Macaca fascicularis: one gene and its partners. The protein of the gene in region 2 interacts with the protein of the main gene of each other region in a biochemical or structural test. Links are inferred from orthologs where the notes say so. Each region holds a gene or a part of one and is shown on either strand. Other genes may lie near its edges. The genes, in order: GADD45B, MAP2K7, MAPK8IP2, LRRK2 and MAP3K11.

The links.
Region 1: the proteins of MAP2K7 (region 2) and GADD45B form a complex in vitro, tested with the Homo sapiens proteins (2 studies listed by BioGRID and IntAct). The link is inferred for Macaca fascicularis from reciprocal best matches to the Homo sapiens genes MAP2K7 and GADD45B.
Region 3: the proteins of MAP2K7 (region 2) and MAPK8IP2 form a complex in vitro, tested with the Homo sapiens proteins (2 studies listed by BioGRID). The link is inferred for Macaca fascicularis from reciprocal best matches to the Homo sapiens genes MAP2K7 and MAPK8IP2.
Region 4: of the proteins of MAP2K7 (region 2) and LRRK2, one has a biochemical effect on the other in vitro, tested with the Homo sapiens proteins (2 studies listed by BioGRID). The link is inferred for Macaca fascicularis from reciprocal best matches to the Homo sapiens genes MAP2K7 and LRRK2.
Region 5: of the proteins of MAP2K7 (region 2) and MAP3K11, one has a biochemical effect on the other in vitro, tested with the Homo sapiens proteins (2 studies listed by BioGRID). The link is inferred for Macaca fascicularis from reciprocal best matches to the Homo sapiens genes MAP2K7 and MAP3K11.

Annotation. Positions count from the first base shown.
Region 1 is NC_088393.1:3,130,543-3,134,589, forward strand, and holds GADD45B (growth arrest and DNA damage-inducible protein GADD45 beta), read left to right. Parts: upstream 1-1,400; 5' UTR 1,401-1,632; coding exon 1,633-1,676; intron 1,677-1,802; coding exon 1,803-1,904; intron 1,905-2,303; coding exon 2,304-2,526; intron 2,527-2,765; coding exon 2,766-2,879; 3' UTR 2,880-3,537; downstream 3,538-4,047.
Region 2 is NC_088393.1:8,620,711-8,624,223, reverse strand, and holds part of MAP2K7 (dual specificity mitogen-activated protein kinase kinase 7), read right to left. Parts: intron 601-3,513; coding exon 459-600; intron 295-458; coding exon 228-294; intron 99-227; coding exon 1-98. UniProt on the Homo sapiens protein: Dual specificity protein kinase which acts as an essential component of the MAP kinase signal transduction pathway. Essential component of the stress-activated protein kinase/c-Jun N-terminal kinase (SAP/JNK) signaling pathway.
Region 3 is NC_088384.1:951,062-954,574, forward strand, and holds part of MAPK8IP2 (C-Jun-amino-terminal kinase-interacting protein 2), read right to left. Parts: intron 3,466-3,513; coding exon 2,239-3,465; intron 1,925-2,238; coding exon 1,849-1,924; intron 1,731-1,848; coding exon 1,558-1,730; intron 1,469-1,557; coding exon 1,359-1,468; intron 603-1,358; coding exon 495-602; intron 340-494; coding exon 269-339; intron 1-268. UniProt on the Homo sapiens protein: The JNK-interacting protein (JIP) group of scaffold proteins selectively mediates JNK signaling by aggregating specific components of the MAPK cascade to form a functional JNK signaling module.
Region 4 is NC_088385.1:46,793,755-46,797,267, reverse strand, and holds part of LRRK2 (leucine-rich repeat serine/threonine-protein kinase 2), read right to left. Parts: intron 1,297-3,513; coding exon 1,095-1,296; intron 56-1,094; coding exon 1-55. UniProt on the Homo sapiens protein: Serine/threonine-protein kinase which phosphorylates a broad range of proteins involved in multiple processes such as neuronal plasticity, innate immunity, autophagy, and vesicle trafficking.
Region 5 is NC_088388.1:8,754,837-8,758,886, reverse strand, and holds the start of MAP3K11 (mitogen-activated protein kinase kinase kinase 11), read right to left. Parts: upstream 2,803-4,050; 5' UTR 2,341-2,802; coding exon 1,602-2,340; intron 1-1,601. UniProt on the Homo sapiens protein: Activates the JUN N-terminal pathway. Required for serum-stimulated cell proliferation and for mitogen and cytokine activation of MAPK14 (p38), MAPK3 (ERK) and MAPK8 (JNK1) through phosphorylation and activation of MAP2K4/MKK4 and MAP2K7/MKK7.

The DNA of each region.
Region 1 (4,047 bases), about 5.5 Mb from region 2:
GCCTCGCAGCCCCGGGACATTTCGTGCCCCAGCGGTGGGCGGCGCGGAGAAGGCGGGATGCGTCAGCTGGGCTCGCGGGCCGGGGAGCCGGGGAACCGGGGAAACCGAGCCGCAGGGCCGAGGCCAGAACCCAGGCTGGCGGGGGAGGGGACTCAGACGTGAGTCACCCGGGAGCCCCCAGTCGACCGTGGGAGACGTTGTCATGCGGGGCCTGCCCGCCTCGTTCCTAAGCAGCCTTCCTGGGGCGGCGGAGTCCTGCAGGCGGCCGTGCCTGGCGCACAGGCGTGGCTCCAACACGAACTAGCCTGTGGCCTCACCAAGCCTCAGTTTACCCTTTTGCATAATGCACATAAGCATCCCCCCTGCTTCTCAGGTCTTGGATTAAATCATCCATGAATCGGGAGGGGTGGAGGGTGCCAGATCCGCACCACGCTCAGTGCAGGTCAGCGCCCACCCCGGAGTGAGAAATAAAGGTGGCCGTCATCCTTGCACGTGGGCCTGGGGTAGCGGCGTGCAGCCGCAGCCTGCACCATTCCCCCCAACAATGGCTTTCTCCTCGGCCTGGAGGCCTCCGCACGCGCAAAGCCTGGAACGCCAGGCAGCTGGCGGGGGCGGGGCCACGCCACCTGCACCTCCCACGCGCGCCCCACCCTGAAACTCGCGGGGTCGGCGAGGGGGCGCCCGCTTTCTTCTCCAGAGTGCCCCGGGCTTTGCAACCTCCCACTTTCGGGGCCCTGGAGGAGGCCTCCCGCGACCACCAGGTGACAGATGATGTGTATTGAGCGCTTACTGTCAGCCGTATTTTATGTGATGCTCTGCAAACCAGCGAGGCCGGCGCTGCAGCCCCATTACTCAGACAGGAATATAGAGGCCGGGAAAAGCGAAATCACCCAGGGGCTGGGGTCGCCGCAGCCAGGAGAGACTCCGGTCATCACCACCACCTGGGCGAGATCAGGCTGCGAACGGGGCCCTTTCCCGGTGCAGCCCCTCCACCCCCAGCAGAACTTGGGAAAGGAGCAGTCCGGGACTCTCCGCGCAGCGGGAGGGGATTCCAGGCCCCCCCCCGGCGAAAGTCCGGGCCGCCTCGCGCGCTGGAAATCCCGCGCGCGCCCCGAACCGCGGCTCGGCTGCCGGGAAATCAGGAGAAAAAAACTTCTGCTTTTTTTTTTCTTTTCTGGCATTCGCGGTCACCTACCCGGCCCCCGCGCGCCCTCCTCCCGGTTCTCGCCCCCACGTGGGGCGCCCCCACACGGCGCTCCGCCCCCTCGCCGCCGTCGGCCAACCGCAGAGCTGTCTGCACTCTCCGTTGTCCTTCCACCAATAGGAGGGTTGAATGACTCCACTGAGGCCTCGCCCCAGCCGTCAAGTCTATAAAAGTCGGTGCCGGAGGCTCCCGGCTCAGATCGCCGAGGCTTCGGACTACGGTTGGTTTCTGCAACTTCCCGGATTATTTTCGCCAAGGACTTTGCAACATTTTTTTCCGCCTTTTCTGGAAGGATTTCGCTGCTTCCCGAAGGTCTTGGACGAGCGCTCCAGCTCCGTGGGAAGGTTTTGGGCTCTCTGGCGCGGATTTTGCAATTTCTCCCTGGGGACTGTCGTGGAGCCGCGTCCACTGTGGATTATAATTGCAACATGACGCTGGAAGAGCTCGTGGCGTGCGACAACGCGGCGCAGAAGTAAGTAGCCGGGACCGCCGCCGTCTGAGGTTGGCCGGGACGGGATGGGTCGGGTTGGGCCGGGCCGGGAGCGGAATGTAGCACCCGGTGGTCCGCCCGTCACTGATCCCTCTCTCCTGGCCTCAGGATGCAGACGGTGACCGCCGCGGTGGAGGAGCTGTTGGTGGCCGCTCAGCGCCAGGATCGCCTCACAGTGGGGGTGTACGAGTCGGCCAAGTTGATGAATGTGTGAGTCAGACCCCCTCCCCGGGCCGGGCGCGGGTGGGACGGGACCTCCCCTCCGCTCTGGACGCTTTCCACACGCTTGTCTCGCATGGGGCTGGGACTTCCCCAAGTGCCACCCGCTGTGGATGCAGAGCTCCTCTGCTGTTTTGTGGATTGGGGGCTGCCGTATCCTGATGCATCGTCTGCAAGCGCCCCTCCCGCTGTGGGCCTGTCTCCCCACACCCCACACTTTGAACCGTGTGCCTTCCCCGCCCCCCACCGTCACCAGCTTGCAGAGGCAATCCCCTGCACCCCTGCAGTTTCTCTTTTGCTCTTGCACGCTCCTTTTTTTGCAAACTCCCCCTGCACGGTGGCCTCTCCCCTGTTCCCGGCTGACCCACCCCTTCCCTTTGGCCCCCTCAGGGACCCAGACAGCGTGGTCCTCTGCCTCTTGGCCATTGACGAGGAGGAGGAGGATGACATCGCCCTGCAAATCCACTTCACGCTCATCCAGTCCTTCTGCTGCGACAACGACATTAACATCATGCGGGTGTCGGGCATGCAGCGCCTGGCACAGCTCCTGGGAGAGCCGGCCGAGACCCAGGGCACCACTGAGGCCCGAGACCTGCATTGTCTCCTGGTCACGGTGAGTTGGGCCTCTGCCCTGACCTGCCACGCCCGGGCACCTGGGCTGGTGTTTGTCAACAAAGTCGGGCTGACTGGTCCTGCACAGCTCAGGGTTCAACCATGCTTGGCATGTCCCGTGGGCAGCCGGGCTGGGGCCTCCTCACCCAGGGAGCTATTTTGAGCCTGCCTGTTTTCCCCACACATGGGGCCCTGGGAGAGGGAGGCTCCCACTAAACCCTTTCTTTTCCCCTCCCACAGAACCCTCACACGGACGCCTGGAAGAGCCACGGCTTGGTGGAGGTAGCCAGCTACTGCGAAGAAAGCCGGGGCAACAACCAGTGGGTGCCCTACATCTCTCTTCAGGAACGCTGAGGCCCTTCCCAGCAGCAGAACCTGTTGAGTTGCTGCCAAAAACAAAAAATAAAATAAATATTTGAACCCCCCTCCCCCCCAGCACAACCCCCCCAAAACAACCCAACCCACGAAACCATCGGGGGCAGAGTCGTTGGAGACTGAAGAGGAGGAGGAGGAGGAGAAGGGGAGTGAGTGGCCGCCCCCAGGGCGGAGATCGGGGAGCTGGCGGCCGCCGATCCGATGGAGGAGAAGTGGGGACCCAGGCCAGCAGGAGACAGGACCCCGGAGCTCAGGCCTTGGGATGGAGCAGAAGCTGGAGGGGCGGGGCACGCTGCCGCCTTCCCTATCATGGAAGGTCCAGACTCTCCACTTGAGGGTGGAGTGAGACTGACTGCAACCCCCACCCTCCTTGAGACTGGAGCTGGCGTCTGCAGACTAGAGACCTGGTTGAACTTGGTTGGTGCTTGTCTGCACCCTCGACAAGACCACACTTTGGGACTTGGGAGCTGGGGCCGAAGTTGCTCTGTACCCATGAACTCCCAGTTTGCGAATCATAGAGACAATCTATTTTGTTACTTGCACTTGTTACTCGAACCACTGAGAGCGAGATGGGAAGCACAGATATCTATATTTTTATTTCTACTCTGATGACCTTGTAATAAATTTCTAAAGCTTCTGGGTGCTTGTATGTTTTCGGCTTCTGAGAACAACCGGGACCCCTGCCCCCTCCCCTGGGACACGCTTCACACCCCCCCTCCCCACCTCTCCTCCGCAACCCCTGCCAGCTCACCAGGAAGTGTTACTCAAGCCCCTGTTAGCAGCTCCAGGCTCCCGTGCAAAACAGTACCTCTTCTCTGCAGCAGGCGCCTCCACCGACTCCAACAAATCTATGCCTCTTTTTTTTTTTTTTTTTCCTCTCCTCCTACCCTGTAGCAATTAAGAGACCGGTTTATTACGAAACCTGGCCGCCGTGCCACCGCTGTTACTGGCTGTGCAGGAGCCAGCCCTAAGCTCTGGGCACATATGGAGGCATTTCGGCGGGAGGGGGTGCTGGCTGCAGCCCCTGACCGCCCCGGCGGCCGCCACCGCAGCCCAAGGTCCAGAGCGGTCAATGGGGCACCTGGGACCACACAGCGAGGTGAGCTCAGGACTTGCAAGGAAGAGCTCCTTTGGAGGATTCCGCAGG
Region 2 (3,513 bases):
TGGCCGGTCTTCCGGAAGCGCATCTTCCACACCTGGCCGCAGGTGCCGCTGCCCATCTCACCCAAGTTCTCCAGGTCATTGATTTCTGCCTGGTAGCGCTGGGAGGAGAGGGAGGGTTGGAGGGTCCCCGGGGCCTCTGTCACCGCCCCCCGCCCCCCACTGGCACCCCCAGGATGGGTCCAGCCTGGCTGGGCCTCCTCCCTCTCCCGCCACAGTGAAGGTGGTACCTGGCCCCCGATGGTCAGGTAGCCCGTCTGCTTCATGATCTCCTGCAGCTTCTGGTCAATCTCAATGCTGGGGACAAGGAGCAGGTGCCGGTGGAGGTGGGTCCTGACCTTAGGTTGGCCACCCCAGCCCCCCATACCGGGGTTCTCACCGGTTTAACCGCCCTCCCCGAGGCTGGCACGGTGGCCCCTCAATGCTGCTTCCCACCCAACCCTGCCGGGCCCCTGGCTCACCTCTCCATGCTTCGAGGCGTGAACAGGGTTGACGGGAGCCCCAGCATGTGGCGGGGCCGGGCGGGGGGCGTGGGGTGCTGCGGGGAGCTCTCCGAGGATGGCGAGCGGCTGCCCCCATCGTTGGCCAGCGGGAGCTGCAGGGCTGGGGGGGTGAGAACCAGTGGCAGGGGAGGGGTCAGCACCCAGCTGGTCTCAGCTCCACATCTGGCACTCCAGGGAGAGGTCGGGACCCTCACCTTCCCCTCCTGGGCTTCCCTAGCTAGGCCGGCACAGCCCCTGCCCTGCTGGGCTGGAGGAGCTGGGGTCTCCCTCCCACCCCAGACTGTCCTCAGGGTCCCTTGTCTCATCCCCTGACGTGGAAAGAAATGGAAGAGGCTGGCAGGGGAGAGGGAGCCCCAAGTCTACGCTGACGGAGAAATGAGACGGGGACCTGAGGTGTCCCTCGGCCAGGCAGCCTCCATGACAGGTGTGGGCGCTTCCTCCCACTTCTGCCCAGGAAGCAGGCCCAGGACCACAGCGCCCACAGGCTGGATAGGCGGGGGTGGAGTGCCTGCCAGGGCTGGCCCGGGCTGTGGCCCTGCTGGTAGCACTAAACTTGGCTCCCAGACGAGAGCGAGCGGGGCCACCCTGGGGAGGCAGTGGGCACGAGACCCAGGTTTCAGGCTGCCTTGCCCCATGTTCTGTTCCGGGTTCGGGAGGGCCCCCTCGGGCCAGTGGGCTGACACGGGGGCCTCCCGGCCTGGCCTGCAGAGCTGGGGCCCGTGGGGGCAGGACAGGACCTCAGGGGGCCTGCATCATCTGGGAGGAGAGTTGGGGGGCACAGCTCCTGCAGGGGCTGGCGGGACCAGGTGGGGCCAATGCTGGGCCAGGCAGGGGTTGGCTCATCCAGCAGCCTGCATGCGGGCAGCTCGGGCATGCTACAGCGGGCGGGCAGGCGGCGGGCAGGCGGCGGGCACCCTGGGGCAGGCAGGCAGCATTAGGGGTGGGAGGGCAGGAGACAGACAGACAGACAGGAACCAAGACTTGGGCCCAGGTGCCCAGAGGAGGCACTGCACAGACAGGCCAGAGAGGGGCCTGGGACAGGAGGGCAGCTTCCTGGAGGAGCTAGGGTCTCCCTGGCTGGGCTGGCGATGGGGTGCAGGAACAGAGGCCGGGATGCCAACGTGGCCTCCAGAGGAGCCAATCCTGACACCTCCCATCCCAGAGGCCCTGACAACAGCTGCACACACCTCCCAAGGTGCCCCTCCCACAGGGGCTGGGGCCTGCCGCTCTCCCAAAGCCCTCAACGGACAACCCCCTCTCTTCCTCCTGCCCCGTCCACCTTTTCTTCCCACAGTTCTGCAGGCTCCTGGTGACTGGTGCCCAGGGACTAACACGAACAGACAGACCCGCTCCACGCTGGCAGCTAAACCCCGTCCCTCCCCTGGGTGCCTGGGACCCTGATCTCAGCCAGTAGGAGAGGCAGGAGGACGCTGACCTCAGTCTCAATCAGGAGGCCCAGCACTGCCCCTACCTGGTCCCACCAGCCCCTGCAGGAGCTGTGTCCCCTTGCTCCCCTCCTGGAGGACCAGGCAGGAGCTGGGGAAGGGCTCCGGGGACCTGGGGACACAGTCAGGCCCAGCTTTCCTAACTGGCCTAGAGGCCTCACCTCCCGTGCCCCTCCCGCTGTCCTGGCCACTGCAGCCTCCGCAGCACCATGTCACCTCCCACTGGTGCTTTTTTTTCCTTTTTTTTCCGAGATAGGTTCTCACTCTGTCGCCCAGGCTGGAGTGCAATGGCGTGATCTCAACTCACTGCAACCTCCACCTCCCAGGTTCAAGTGATTCTCCTGCCTCAGCCTCCTGAGTAGCTGGGATTATAGGCACACGCCACCATGCCCAACTAATCTTTGTCTTTTTAGTAGAGACGGGATCTCGCTGCGTTGGCCAGGTTCCCCCCTCTGCTTCTTCAGGTCCTTGTGCCTCTGCTCTGTCCATGGCCTGAGCCACAGCCCCGATCCTCTTCTGGCTCCCGAGGGCCTGTGCTCCCCTCACACCCAGCCCCCAACCCCTGTGCACCTGGTGTCTCTTGAGATACTGCGTGGTTCCCGCCCTCAGAGAGTATCTGAGTCCCACTCCCGCCCTGCACTCAGGGGGTGAGGACCACAGCCCTCGAGGAGTCCTGTGGGCCCCCTCCCCGGCACAGCCCACCAGGCCTTCTGAGGGCAGCCCCAGAGCCTGGGGAGGAGGCTGCTGGCCTACAGACTGGAGCACGGGGGAACGGAAGGGAGGGCTCAGGTAGGCACTGGGGGAAGGAGGTACACAAAGGCCCTGAGAACAGAGGCCACAGAGGTGGCGATGGCCACATGGCAGCTCAGGAGGGTGGAGTGACAGCAAGAGGGTGAGGATGAGAGAGAAAGAATGGATGAGAGAGAGCGAGAGGCTGGAGGGCACGTGTCTGCTGACAGGAGCCACAGGTGTGCAGGCTGCCATGTCAACATGCACACACACGCCGTGCAAGTGCACACAAGCACAACACACACGCGGGGCGTGCCGCTGTGGACCCAACACCCATGCAGCTGGGACAGAGTCCCCATTGCCCATCGGACACACACACACTCACAGTCACTCACAGGGCCAGGCACCTCATCTACTCCCTCTCCCAACACGGGCATGGGGCACAGCCTGCATGCCCACCACAGGCTGGCACTACGCTCAGAGCTCGGGCAGGGCTGTCTTCTCTCCCCCCACCTCCTTCAAGACGCTTTTTACATTTTTTTGGTTTTGTTTTGAGACGGAGTCTTGCTCTGTTGCCCAGGCTGGAGTGCAGTGGCACGACCTGAGTTCACTGCAACTTCCACCTAATCTCTTTTATGTTTTTTTTTTTTTAGATGGAGTTTCACTCTTGCTGCCCAGGCTGGAGTGCAATGGAGTGATCTCGGCTCACTGCAACCTCCGCCTCCCGGGTTCAAGCTATTCTCCTGCCTCGGTCTCCCGAGTAGCTGGGATTACAGGCATGCGCCACCATGCCCGCCTGATTTGTATTTTCAGTGGAGACGGGGTTTCTCTATGTTGGG
Region 3 (3,513 bases), on a different chromosome or scaffold from region 2:
CTCAGCTCAGAGAGCCAAGTGGGTGCAGGTGGAGCTCTCAGGGTTGGGCACGAGCGGCCCTCAGGGTCTGTGGGGACTTGGGGGATGGTTAGGCAGCCCTCAGGGTTTGTGGGGACTTGGGGGATGGTTAGGCAGCCCTCAGGGTTTGTGGGGACTCCGGGGGTGGTTGGACTCTCAGCGTTTGTGGGGTGGTTGGGGAACTCGGGGGCAGTTGGGGGACTCGGGGAGTTGCGGGTTTGTGGGGACTCGGGGATGGTTGGAATCTTACCAGCTGTTTCGGGGGTGGCAGCCGCAGAAGGAGATGTTCTTCATCTGGAAGAAATGGCTGCAGCGCTGGAACTACAGCAGAGGTGGGCAGAAGCCCCCGTGTTAGAGGAAGCCTGGGGCCACCCCTGCCTCCCGCCTGCCTGACACCCCTGCCAGCCTGGCCCCGTCTGACTCCGTGGCTTAACCGTACCCCCCCGTCCCCTGTCCCCAGTCCCCCAAGCCCCCACCTCGGGCCCTCCTCCGCTCAGACTCAGCTTGACCCCCCGAAGAGAGATCTCGAGGTCACAGGAGGCAGGAGGGCGCAGGTGGACAGTCAGTTTCCGGGCAGTGGCAATCTAAGAAGTTGGGGGAGAAGAGGGTCCTGAGGGGCCCACAAGGGCATCTTTCTTTCCCCTTGGTGGGACTACGTACGCCTCTGCTCCTTTTAGCTTATGTTTGAGGACATGCATGCTGAGGACTCCTGAGATGCAATTCTGGAAGACATAAGGGAGTGGCCTTGGCCACTCCTCAGGCTCAGGGGAAGCAGTCAGCGTGCTTCATCTTCCTTCTGCTCCTCCAGGCAGGGTGCTGCTCTGGGCTCAGGAGCCAGGAACACAGACCCCACCCACCCTGGCCTCTTCACTGCCTGGCCCTACAAGCTCCAGGGAGCTCTCAGAGGCAGGGCTGCTCTGCCCTGCTCCCTACCGCCCCCCAGCCTCAGTCTCAGTACTGGTGCATGGGCAGGCGCGCACTAAACGTCTACTGAGTGAGTGGATGAGTAGGGGGCTCCCAGGGAAGGGGCTGTGAGGGCTGGTCTTGATTCCAGACAGGAAGAGGAAGGGCTGATGGCACTCGGGGCCAACTGGAAGATCTGTGGCCCAGAGACCCAGAAGTAATGAGGGACAGCTGCTGAGCTCTGCCCTAGACTCACCTGCTCAGGCCTCTGAACCAGGGCCTGGGGTACCCATCCAGAGCTACCCCTGCAGCATCCCTCACACCCTCCCTGGAGGAAATCAGACGCCTTGGAGCCTCAAGGCCCTGTGCCAGCCTGCAGTGCTGGTGGGGCCACCATGCGAACCCTCAGCTTGCACTTGCCCGGCCTCCACACTGACCTTCTGCATGGCCGCACACAGGATGCCATTGCCCTGGTGGCAGGGCACCTCCACAGAGCCCAGGAACTGCACATCAAAGCGCTCCACCCAGCAGGGACTCCGCTTGCTCCCTGGGGAGGGGGCACAGAGGGCCCAGGTCAGGCAGGGGCCTAGGGGAGGATCTGGGGTGACACGCCACCCCTCGGGGTTGGGACCTCACCCAGCAGGTCCTTGGCAGGGCCGGGAACCGCATGGGCGTAGAAGGCAGGGAACACACCGCGCTCCCCCGTACGCATGTTGAAGCCACGGAACCAGAAGTCATCCTCCTCGGCCTCCACCAACACGGGGTCATCCACGTCCAGCTCCAGTTCGTCTGGATGCCGCGGGATGAACCTGCCGTTGGGGGAGAGGTCACTGGGGAGGGGGGCGGGATTGAGGGTCGTGTCCATTGGCGTCCTGGGATGGCACGGACTGAGGCTGGGGCCACCGCCAGCAAGGAGGGAGGCTGTACCTGAACACAGCCCTGTGGGTCTGCTCTCGCTCCTCACCGTTGACCAGACAGGAGAAAAGGCCAAAGGACTCGGTGCCTGGGAGACCAGATGGGACAGAGGTGGGGAAGACAGGGATACAGAGAGGCAGAGTAGGGGAAGGAATGTTTAGAGGCCTGGCCTCGGGCAGAGGTGGAGTCCCCTCTGCAGGCCGGTGTGGGTGTCCTGGGAGCAGGAAGGGGCTGAGGCAGAGCAGGCCACCTCATGCCATGTCCTGGATGGGAGAGGGCGCCCAGCCCTGACCATGGCCAGACCCTCAGGTGGCCCCGGGCACTGTGGGGGAGCCTGGGACTGGGGCCAGGGACTCCGCATGTTCCTCTGGGTCACCCCCCTTTTCCCTGCCTGTCACTCACTGGAGGACCGGGATGTGCTGTTGACGAAGACATTGAGGAACTTCTTGGAGAAAGTGAGGTCAGGGCTGTCCGGCGAGGTGTCCCCCGGGACCTGACCACCGCCTAGCAGCGCTGCGCCCACCTCCTCCTCGCTGGCCTCCCCGCTGCTGTCCTCTTCGCTGTCGTGGCCCAGCCCGGCGCAGCGCCGCAGGCTCACCAGCTCCAGCTGCGTATGCTCGTCCACCACCAGCGTGTACTTGACCGCGTCATACACCAGCGAGGCGTCCCGCGGCGCCGAGGGGTCCGTGCCCCTGCCCCCGGGGGGCCCCGCACTGTCCTCGGCATCCTCCTCTTCCTCGTCGTCCTCTTCGTCCTCCTCCTCAGAGCAGGCGGCGGAGCAGGCTCGGCCCGGGCGGGCAGCGCGGCCGGGCGCGGCCCACAGCGGCGTGATGGTGTCACGCGTGGGGTTGCTGAGGAACAGGCAGGGCCCGGGCTGCGCGGGGCCGGGTCGAGGCGCGGCGGGCGCAGGCGGCGGCGGCGCGCACAGCGTCTCCATGTCCACCAGCTCCACGTCGCCGGGCCCCGCGGCCGCCTCGGGGTCCTGGGAGTCCTGGGCAGCCCCGCCGGCCGGCGACACGGGCTCCCCGGGCGGGCGCGGCGCCGGAGACAGGCACTGGCCGGGGCAGCGGATGGGCGAGGAGCCCTCGGAGATCATGCGGCTCACCAGGTTGCTGAGCAGCCAGGGCGAGTCCGCGTCCTCGCTGAGGTCCGGCTCCGACTCCGACCCCGACTCGTACTCGCTGTTGGTGTCGTCGGGACCCACGGGCAGGAAGGCGGGGCGGCGCGGGGGTTCGCGCGGGGGCTCCGGCTCCGAGGCGGGCGACGAGGCCTCCTCGATGGAGTTGGTGAGGTGCGAGGAGCGGCCGCTGCTGCTGCTTCCGCCGTCGCTGCTCAGCTCCAGCTCCGTCTCCGAGATGGACGAGATCATGCGCCCTAGGCGCGCGCCGCCCGCGTCCTCTGAGTCGGAGCCGGGCGAGGACAGCTCCTGGCTGCTGCGACGTCCCCCGTGGCCCCCGCTCGAGCGGCTTCTCAGGTCAGCCTCGATGCCGGGATCTGAGGAGGGCGAAGTCCCCCCTGGCGCCGGGGGTTCCGCAGGCCGGTTCCCTTCGCAGTCGCAACCCGGGCGCACTGGCGACTGCGTCCCGCCAGGCCCTGTGTCCGTGGGAGGGAGGGGGCCCGGGGGCTCTGCTGGGCAGGGAGGTGGGGGTCACCCTCTCTGCACCATCCAGGCCTCTT
Region 4 (3,513 bases), on a different chromosome or scaffold from region 2:
ACAAAATACAAGTCACTTAACTGCAGTGCTGGGTCTTGAAAATGAAGAAGGACTCCTGTAGTAAAAATTCATCAAACAGTGAAACATGGAATGTAGAACAACTATCAAGGGGCTTTAGAAAGAATCTAGTCCAACTTCCTCATTTTACAGGTAAAGAAATTTCAGCATACCTAGTGGCAGAGCTGGGACTAGAAGCTGTGCATCCTATGGTCTAAAGTCCCAATATTATAATGGAGTATTTTTAAACTACATAAAACAATCATATATAAACATATTTGAGACACTGACATGCATTACAAAGCATATTTCATGCATACATAGAAATTCATAATTTTCTGTTTTGCTTGCTGAATAAACACTACAAAGACATGTTTTATTTTCAAATACAGATAAGAAACACAGCATATTTCAGCATACCTTAAGAACAATGGGGAAAAGGAACAGATCATAAACCACAGGAAGCTATTTTTCACACAACAGAATCTAGGGATCAAAAGCAGCTTCCCAGTCACTTACTCTAGTACTATCAAACAACTCACACATTTCTGGCAAAGTAATATGATCAAGTACACAATTAGCACTGAAGTTGGTTTGAGAATTTTCATCTTTGAGACCAATATTTGATGAAAGAGAGCTAGATCTTCCACTCAGCAGCTGCATCATCTCAGGGAGCCATTGATTCTCAAAGCGTCCCAGTTAGACCATTCCAACAATAATTCCCCTTTGCAATATAAAAATAAGTTTCACATGCACTAAACTCATTTGACATTATGGAAGGATATGGTTGTGCTTGGGGTTCCACAGCTCCTGAATAGTACAAGTAAGTTCTAGAACCCAAATATTTTAACTCCCACTCAGGGAATCTTTCCACTACTTTACTCCTAGGTGATTTCTAAATTTGTTTTCTTACAACATGATACATGATTTATCATCCACACACATGATGATCCTCCAAAAAGAAAAAAATCAGTGCCCTATTAAAGAACTGTATGGATATTCTCTCAGCTTTGAATGTAAATTCTATACAAGATTCAGAAACACTTTTATAAGTTATTACAGCTGAGCTTTGAAAGTAAGGAAAGAAACACACAAACCTGATTCATTTAGAAAGTGAACTGCGTGAGGAAGCTCATTTTCATCTAACTGCAACTGATTTTCTCTCACTAGTTGTAATAATCGTTTCTGGTCAATTACAGGAAATTCAATTGGCACATTTTTACGCTCCGATAAAATGATTTTCTCAAGTTCTACATAGCAGTCTGGAATCAGCTGTCCAACAACAGGCTGATCTCGGATCTATGAAATTACAAATGACAAGCCGTAAAAATCTATTTTATTCGTGTATGTGTCAAATGGTTGGCAAATTCAGTGCTAACAGTTTTTACAGAAACAGATATGTTATTCAGAAGTACATTTTTAAATAAAATCAAAATATAATAAAAAGCTATTTAGATTGTAAGGAATAAGTACAATGAAATTAAAATAGGAAAACTGTTGATCCAGAGGCAAATTAGGAAATATCAAATAAAATGGTATGGAAATGTTTATCTTGCTACACAGAAATTCCATGGCAAAAATCAAGATAAATCACTAACCATAAGAAAGATTTTTTATATCTTAAGACATTAAACTTAATGTGAAACAGACACGCTAGCATAAGATATCAGTACAAATTACAAGAGCTTTTGGATATTATATTTTAAATATTCAAGGTAAAACATTAAATTTTGTGCTTGTTATTTGTAAAATGTTATATTGATGGGATGCATATATCAACAGTGAAACCTGGAGACATAAGATCCCACTCAAGCTATGTTGTTCATGGAGTATTTGGGAAAATGAGAAATCATCTAAACACCAGTGATTCTGCTAGGAGAGGATGATCATTGTTCTGTTGCTTTTAGAATCTAATCACTGTCTACAAAATGAGAAATGCATAAAAGAAGATTTTTTAAAGAATGGGCTTAAGAGGATAGTTTCTATAATAAAAGTATCTTCCAAACATTTTTTAAAATATAATTTTAAATAGAAAAGCAACTCTTAATAACATCCGCAATGCCTTTAAGAACCACCAGATGGCAAACTCTCCCTATTTCTGGGCCTATGGAAATTACATATTCTTTTCACCTGAAAATAAGAAACAGCATTTCTGCTTAAATTCTTACACTTACTACAAACAGAAATTCAGCACACAGAGACAAAAAATTAACTTGGTCTTTTTCATTTGTGACTAAAACCTTAAGGAGACAACCATAACCATTACTTCTGTATTTACCTGTAAATGGTTACTCAAGAGACTGTTTTCGTGTATCTTTTGACCCAGAGAATTGGAGATAATTTCACTAATCTCCACTTTTCATGTTCCCTCTCAGAGTTGTTCATAAATTAAGATGAAATGGAACTTCAGATTGAGGTTTATGTTTTAATCCAAGGAGGGAAACCTCCATATAAAAGTAAACAAGAGTTCTCAAAGAAAGCAAATCAAGTAGAAACGGGATGAGTTTTAGGGGACTAGGTCTCAAAGCCTAAAGGGATGCCTGCTCTGCTAATGGGCTGAACAAGATTAAAAGGAGTATTGTCGGCATTCAACTCTGTATTGTCCTGCTTCTCCTTTCAGCATGATAATCAGTTCACTGACAGGCTGAGTCAAAAAAATAAAACTTAAAGTGTCTGCACAGACACATGTTAATAAGGTTGAGACAGAAAAAGATTAGAGAAGAGCTAAGATCAAAGGGAAAGATGAAAAATAAATGAGAGGACAAAAAAAGATCTCTAATAGATTAAAAGCTGCTCTTTGAATTCAGGTTGAAGCACCTCAGGGAAGAAAGAATTTTCAAGTTCTGGCAGGCCCACAGGCCCTGGGTCCTCCGAAAGAGTCACTCTTCTACAAAGCAATCAAATGAGTTTTCAAACCATTATGCCAGAATGCTGCATCCATTAGCAATATATACTTTTCTTTCACTAATACTGGTATTTCTCAAAGCATTTGTTTTACTTCCTTGTAAAAAGTTGTCTTCAAAGTTGATTTACAAGTGCCAAAAGGAAATCTGGTCTGATTTATTGGTAATGATATCTATTAGACAAAAGCAGTATTAATACAGCTTAATGAGCCATCTTATCTGTGACTTTGCATCAACTAAATTCAGGCCTTTTCAAAACAAACTCGTCCTCCAACAAGTCTTTTTAAAGATATGATACATTATCTGACAGCAATGACGAAAAGGGAAATTATCAAAATATTCTCAGTAACAACAAAGTTTTTGAAGTATGGGTATAGTCTCAGAAAAAAAAAAAAAAAACCTCGATTAAGAGATTAACTGGATGAATAAATTTTGTGTATTTGTTTTTCTTTAAGTCATATTACTTTCTAATTACATGTCCAACAAGAGAATAGGAAAATCTACAAATAAATAATGTCATTTTTACATGACATTACTGTCTATCATCAATAAAACCTTTTAATAACTATAATAAATGTGTGCTGAAGGACACGAACATACAAATTCTCTCCCC
Region 5 (4,050 bases), on a different chromosome or scaffold from region 2:
ACCCCAATCCCGCAGACAGCAACTTGGGCCTAAGACTGGGGTCTCCGAGGTTAAATGCCAGGCTCAGGGAGGCTGAGGGCACCTTGCCTGCCCTTTACCACCAACTCCCAGACTCTGAGAGGGAAGCAGGGGAACTAGAGGGGAGTGGGGCAGCAGTTCCAGGCTCCTTCCTCCCGCAAGCCCTCCACCCCCAGCTCTTTCCTCCCCTGCAGGCAGCTGGGCTAGGGAGGGAGCAGGGGCTGGAGCAGGGACAGGAAGCCGGCTCAGGGCAGCAGGAAACGCAGGAAGCAGTGGGGAGGGTGGGGAGCAGGGGCCTGGGCTATTGTTCCATTTTTTCTGGAAAGAAAACGGAGGAAAAACAGAAGATGGGAGTCCCCTCCCCCTGCGCCTTCAGGGAATCCCCCTCAGATTGGGGCAGGTAGTGGGGGTCCCTAGATAGAGCCCAGGGTTGAGGCTGAGAGGTGGGAACTGCACCTTACAAGGGATGAGAAGAGTGGGTGGGGTGGTTGGCAGGCCTCCCCTGGCTCCTCCAGCCCTGGCAAGAACTTGGATATCTGGGGCTCAGCACTCTGTTTCCTGCAAGCCCCTTGTCCATGGTCAGCCCAGGCCAGGAGGCTCAAAATATCCACATGGACCCCCCTCTAAGAATGTCTCATGCTTTTCCAGTGACCCCACTGAGCCTGGCCCCTCCTGCATTTCCTACTGCTGCTCTCCAGCCTGCACCCTGGGCTCTAGGAGGCCCCTGCTCCTGGTCCCTGCTGTGTGCTAGGTCCTGCTTCCATGCCTTCGCTCTCTAAATGCTGCGCGCACCAGGAAGCCCTCTGAAGCTACCACTTGCTTCTCTTGGGCCGTGATGGAAAGCGTGTTGGGGGCTTAAAATGGTGGGAGATGGAGTCTCCCTTAGCCCAGCACTCCCACCCCAAGCACTGATTGCAGGCTAGGCCCTCTTGGTGATCCAGCCCTCAAATGTCCATCTCCATGGCTGAACACCCGCTGCGGGTTGGGGATCGCAGGTCAGGCTTGCCCAGGCTGTTGAGCTGTTTCACTCTCCCTTTTTACAGAGTCTGAAATTGAGGCTCCGAGTTTGAGTAACGAGCTAGAGGTCATGCAGCCAGGGAGGGCTAGGCCAGAATTCCAGCCCTGGCCTTGGCCTTGACTGCCAAGGAGGGCTTCTCCCTCTGAGATATCTGTTCTGGAGGAGCTGCCCATGATGACAGGAGAGGACAGAGCACCAAGTCTACGAATATGAATTTAGGGGAGGAGAAGATGGGGAGCGCGAGCTTCCAGAGGACTTCCTTGAGGTGGGAGGCAGAGCTGGGCAGGATGCTTATGGCCCACCTGAGAAATCCCAATTTCTTAACTTGTCCAAACCTCAGCTGCAGGCTGGGGCCAAGGACTTCTGAGGCTGGGACAGGAAGACTCTTCTGGGTGCCTGGAGCTCTGTTTGGGGGCTAGCTTGAGCCCATGGGCACCTGGTCAGCTGGGACCCCCTAGGGCGAGTGCTCCTACCTGCAGCAGACCCTAAGCTAGGCTCAGTGGAAGGTTGGGAGCAGGTGTGTGCCAGAGCCATGCCACCCGCAACCAGGCCGCCAGAAACTCACTGTTGTTGGACTTGAGGTCGCGATGGATGACGGGCACCAGGGCCTCGCAGTGCAGGTAGTGCATCCCACGGGCAATCTGCACAGCCCAGTTAACCAGCACATGGGGAGGCACGCGCCGCCCTGCCAGAGCTCGGCTGAGGGGTCCACCAGCTGCATACTCCATCACCAGGCACAGGTTGGGCTCCTCCAGGCACACAGCCTTGAGGGCAATGATGTTGGGGTGTGCTAGCATGGCGAAGAGCCGGGCCTCCTGGCGAACACTCTCAGCTGTCACACTGATGTCCTCATCGGGGTCCTGGCGAGCTGCCTTCACAGCCACCAGCTCACCTCGCCAGCTGCCCCGGTACACCTTGCCGAAGCCTCCAATGCCGATCACCTCCTCCAGCCGCAGCTCCTGGAAGCTGGCCACCTCGCAGGGGGGCGGGCCGCCACCCCGAGACACATAGTTGGATGGGAAGATGCCCACCTGGCCACCCACCTGGCCTGCCCACCAGCCCTCGTCTCCTGAGATGGCTGCGTCCCGGGACAGCACCTCCACACGGTCACCCTTCCTCAGGGCCAGCTCGTCCTGCCCACTGGGCTCGTAGTCGAACAGGGCTGTCCACACCGGGTTGGCATAACCCGCTGCCTTTGGAGACCCCTCAGGCCGGCCTCCTCCACTGCCCCCACCACCCCCGCTGCCACTGCCATTCCATGACCCTAGAGGGCTCTTGAGGAAGAGGCTCTTCAAGGGCTCCATGGCCGGGAGCCGGCGTTGGGATGTGTGGAGGACCTTCTCTGGGTGCCCGTGGTCCCCACCCCCGCTGGCTGCCGAGGCCCTAGTCCCGGAACCTGGGCATCCGGGCCCTGGCCCTCAGCCCCAGACCCACGCCTCTCTGGGGAGCCAGGAGTGTCGCCTCCCGGCCCCCCGCATCTCGGGCTTCTGGAGGAGGGCACCCAGGGCAGTGTGGTCAGGCCGGGGGGGTGGGGCCCCGGGGCCTCCGACGCCTCACCATGGCTAGCTTGGAGGGGCCCGAGCTTCCCTCGGTCCTGGAGCAGTCCTGGGAGCCTGGCTCCGGCCCCCGCCCAGCGTAAGGTGGGGCCTCCAGGGGCAGCGCCTCAACTCCGGTTGGGTCTTTTTGCGCGGGGGTGGAGGGAGCGTCCACAGTTGGGCCCAGACTGCCTGTTCCTGTCCCTGGCTCCTTTGGTCCCCGACGGCTCCGACCCCGCTCCCTTCTTCCTCCTCCCTTTGTACTTTGGCCTCGGGGGCGGGAGGCAGAGGTGGAGGGTGGAGTTTCACTTTTTTCCGCTCTTCTCCCTCCTGCAGGAAACAGCATCAGATGACGCGGGCGGCCTGCACCGCTCCCCTCCCAGAGGCTCCAGCAGGGGAGTTCCCGGGTAGGCGGGCCAGGAGAGGCAGAGGAGGGAAAGGGCAGAACCAGATTCCCCATCACAGCAGGCTTTGAGATATAGAAAGAAAAGCCTCCAGCTGCGTGCTCTGCTGGCCAGGGTGCAGGTTGGTCTCTGCTAAGGATGGGCCATCTCTGTCCTCTGCATCCGCACTGGCGTCAGCAAAACGGGGTTACAGAACCACACTTGGGAAGGGGGTGAACCCAAGTCTGGTGTTGGCTGCGAAGTTGTGGGACTGTGCGATCCATCCATTCTGAGCCTCATTATTTTCTTTCTTTCTTTCTTTTTTCTTTTTTTGAGACGGAGTCCTTTCTCTGTCACCCAGGCTGGTATGCAATGGCGCAGTCTAAGCTCACTGCAACCTCTGCCTCCCGGGTTCAAGCGATTCTCCTGCCTCAGCCTCCCGAGTAGCTGGGACTACCGGCGCGTGGCACCACGGCCGGCTAATTTTTGTATTTTTGGTAGAGATGGGTTTCACCACGTTGACCATGCTGGTCTCAAACCCCTGACCTCGTGATCCGCCCGCCTCGACCTCCCAAAGTGCTGGGATTACAGGCGTGAGCCACCGCGCCCGGCCATTCTTTTCATATATGATATGAGTACAAGAAAGCTCTGCCTCGCAGAGCTAGTGGGATGGGGTGGGGAAGACTGGAGGACAGACGGAACTGGCTGCACCTCAAGCTCTTGGAGTGGATTGTCTAAGGTTCTGCTCTTCTCCTCACCTGGGAAACAATCCGCTTCTTCATATCCCTTCCCCATTGGCAGAATCCTGAGACTTGTCCAGAACTTTGCCCACGATTGGATTCAGAATAGCTGAGTCGCCCTCAGAACCTCTGGATAGGGCTGCCCCAATTGCTTTAAGCCTGTCACTTTAAGAAAGACGACGCTATCCTTTTTCGACTATTCCTGCCTGTTCCGGAAGGTTGTTCTCTACACCCTAGGTCTGAGCTCTGACCCGGAAGTAGACGCCGCTGGGAGACGAGAAACGATCAGGACGTAGGAGGTCCAGCATTAAAGGGGGCGGACCGAGAGGGGCGTGCTTCGGTAGTGCAGAACACTC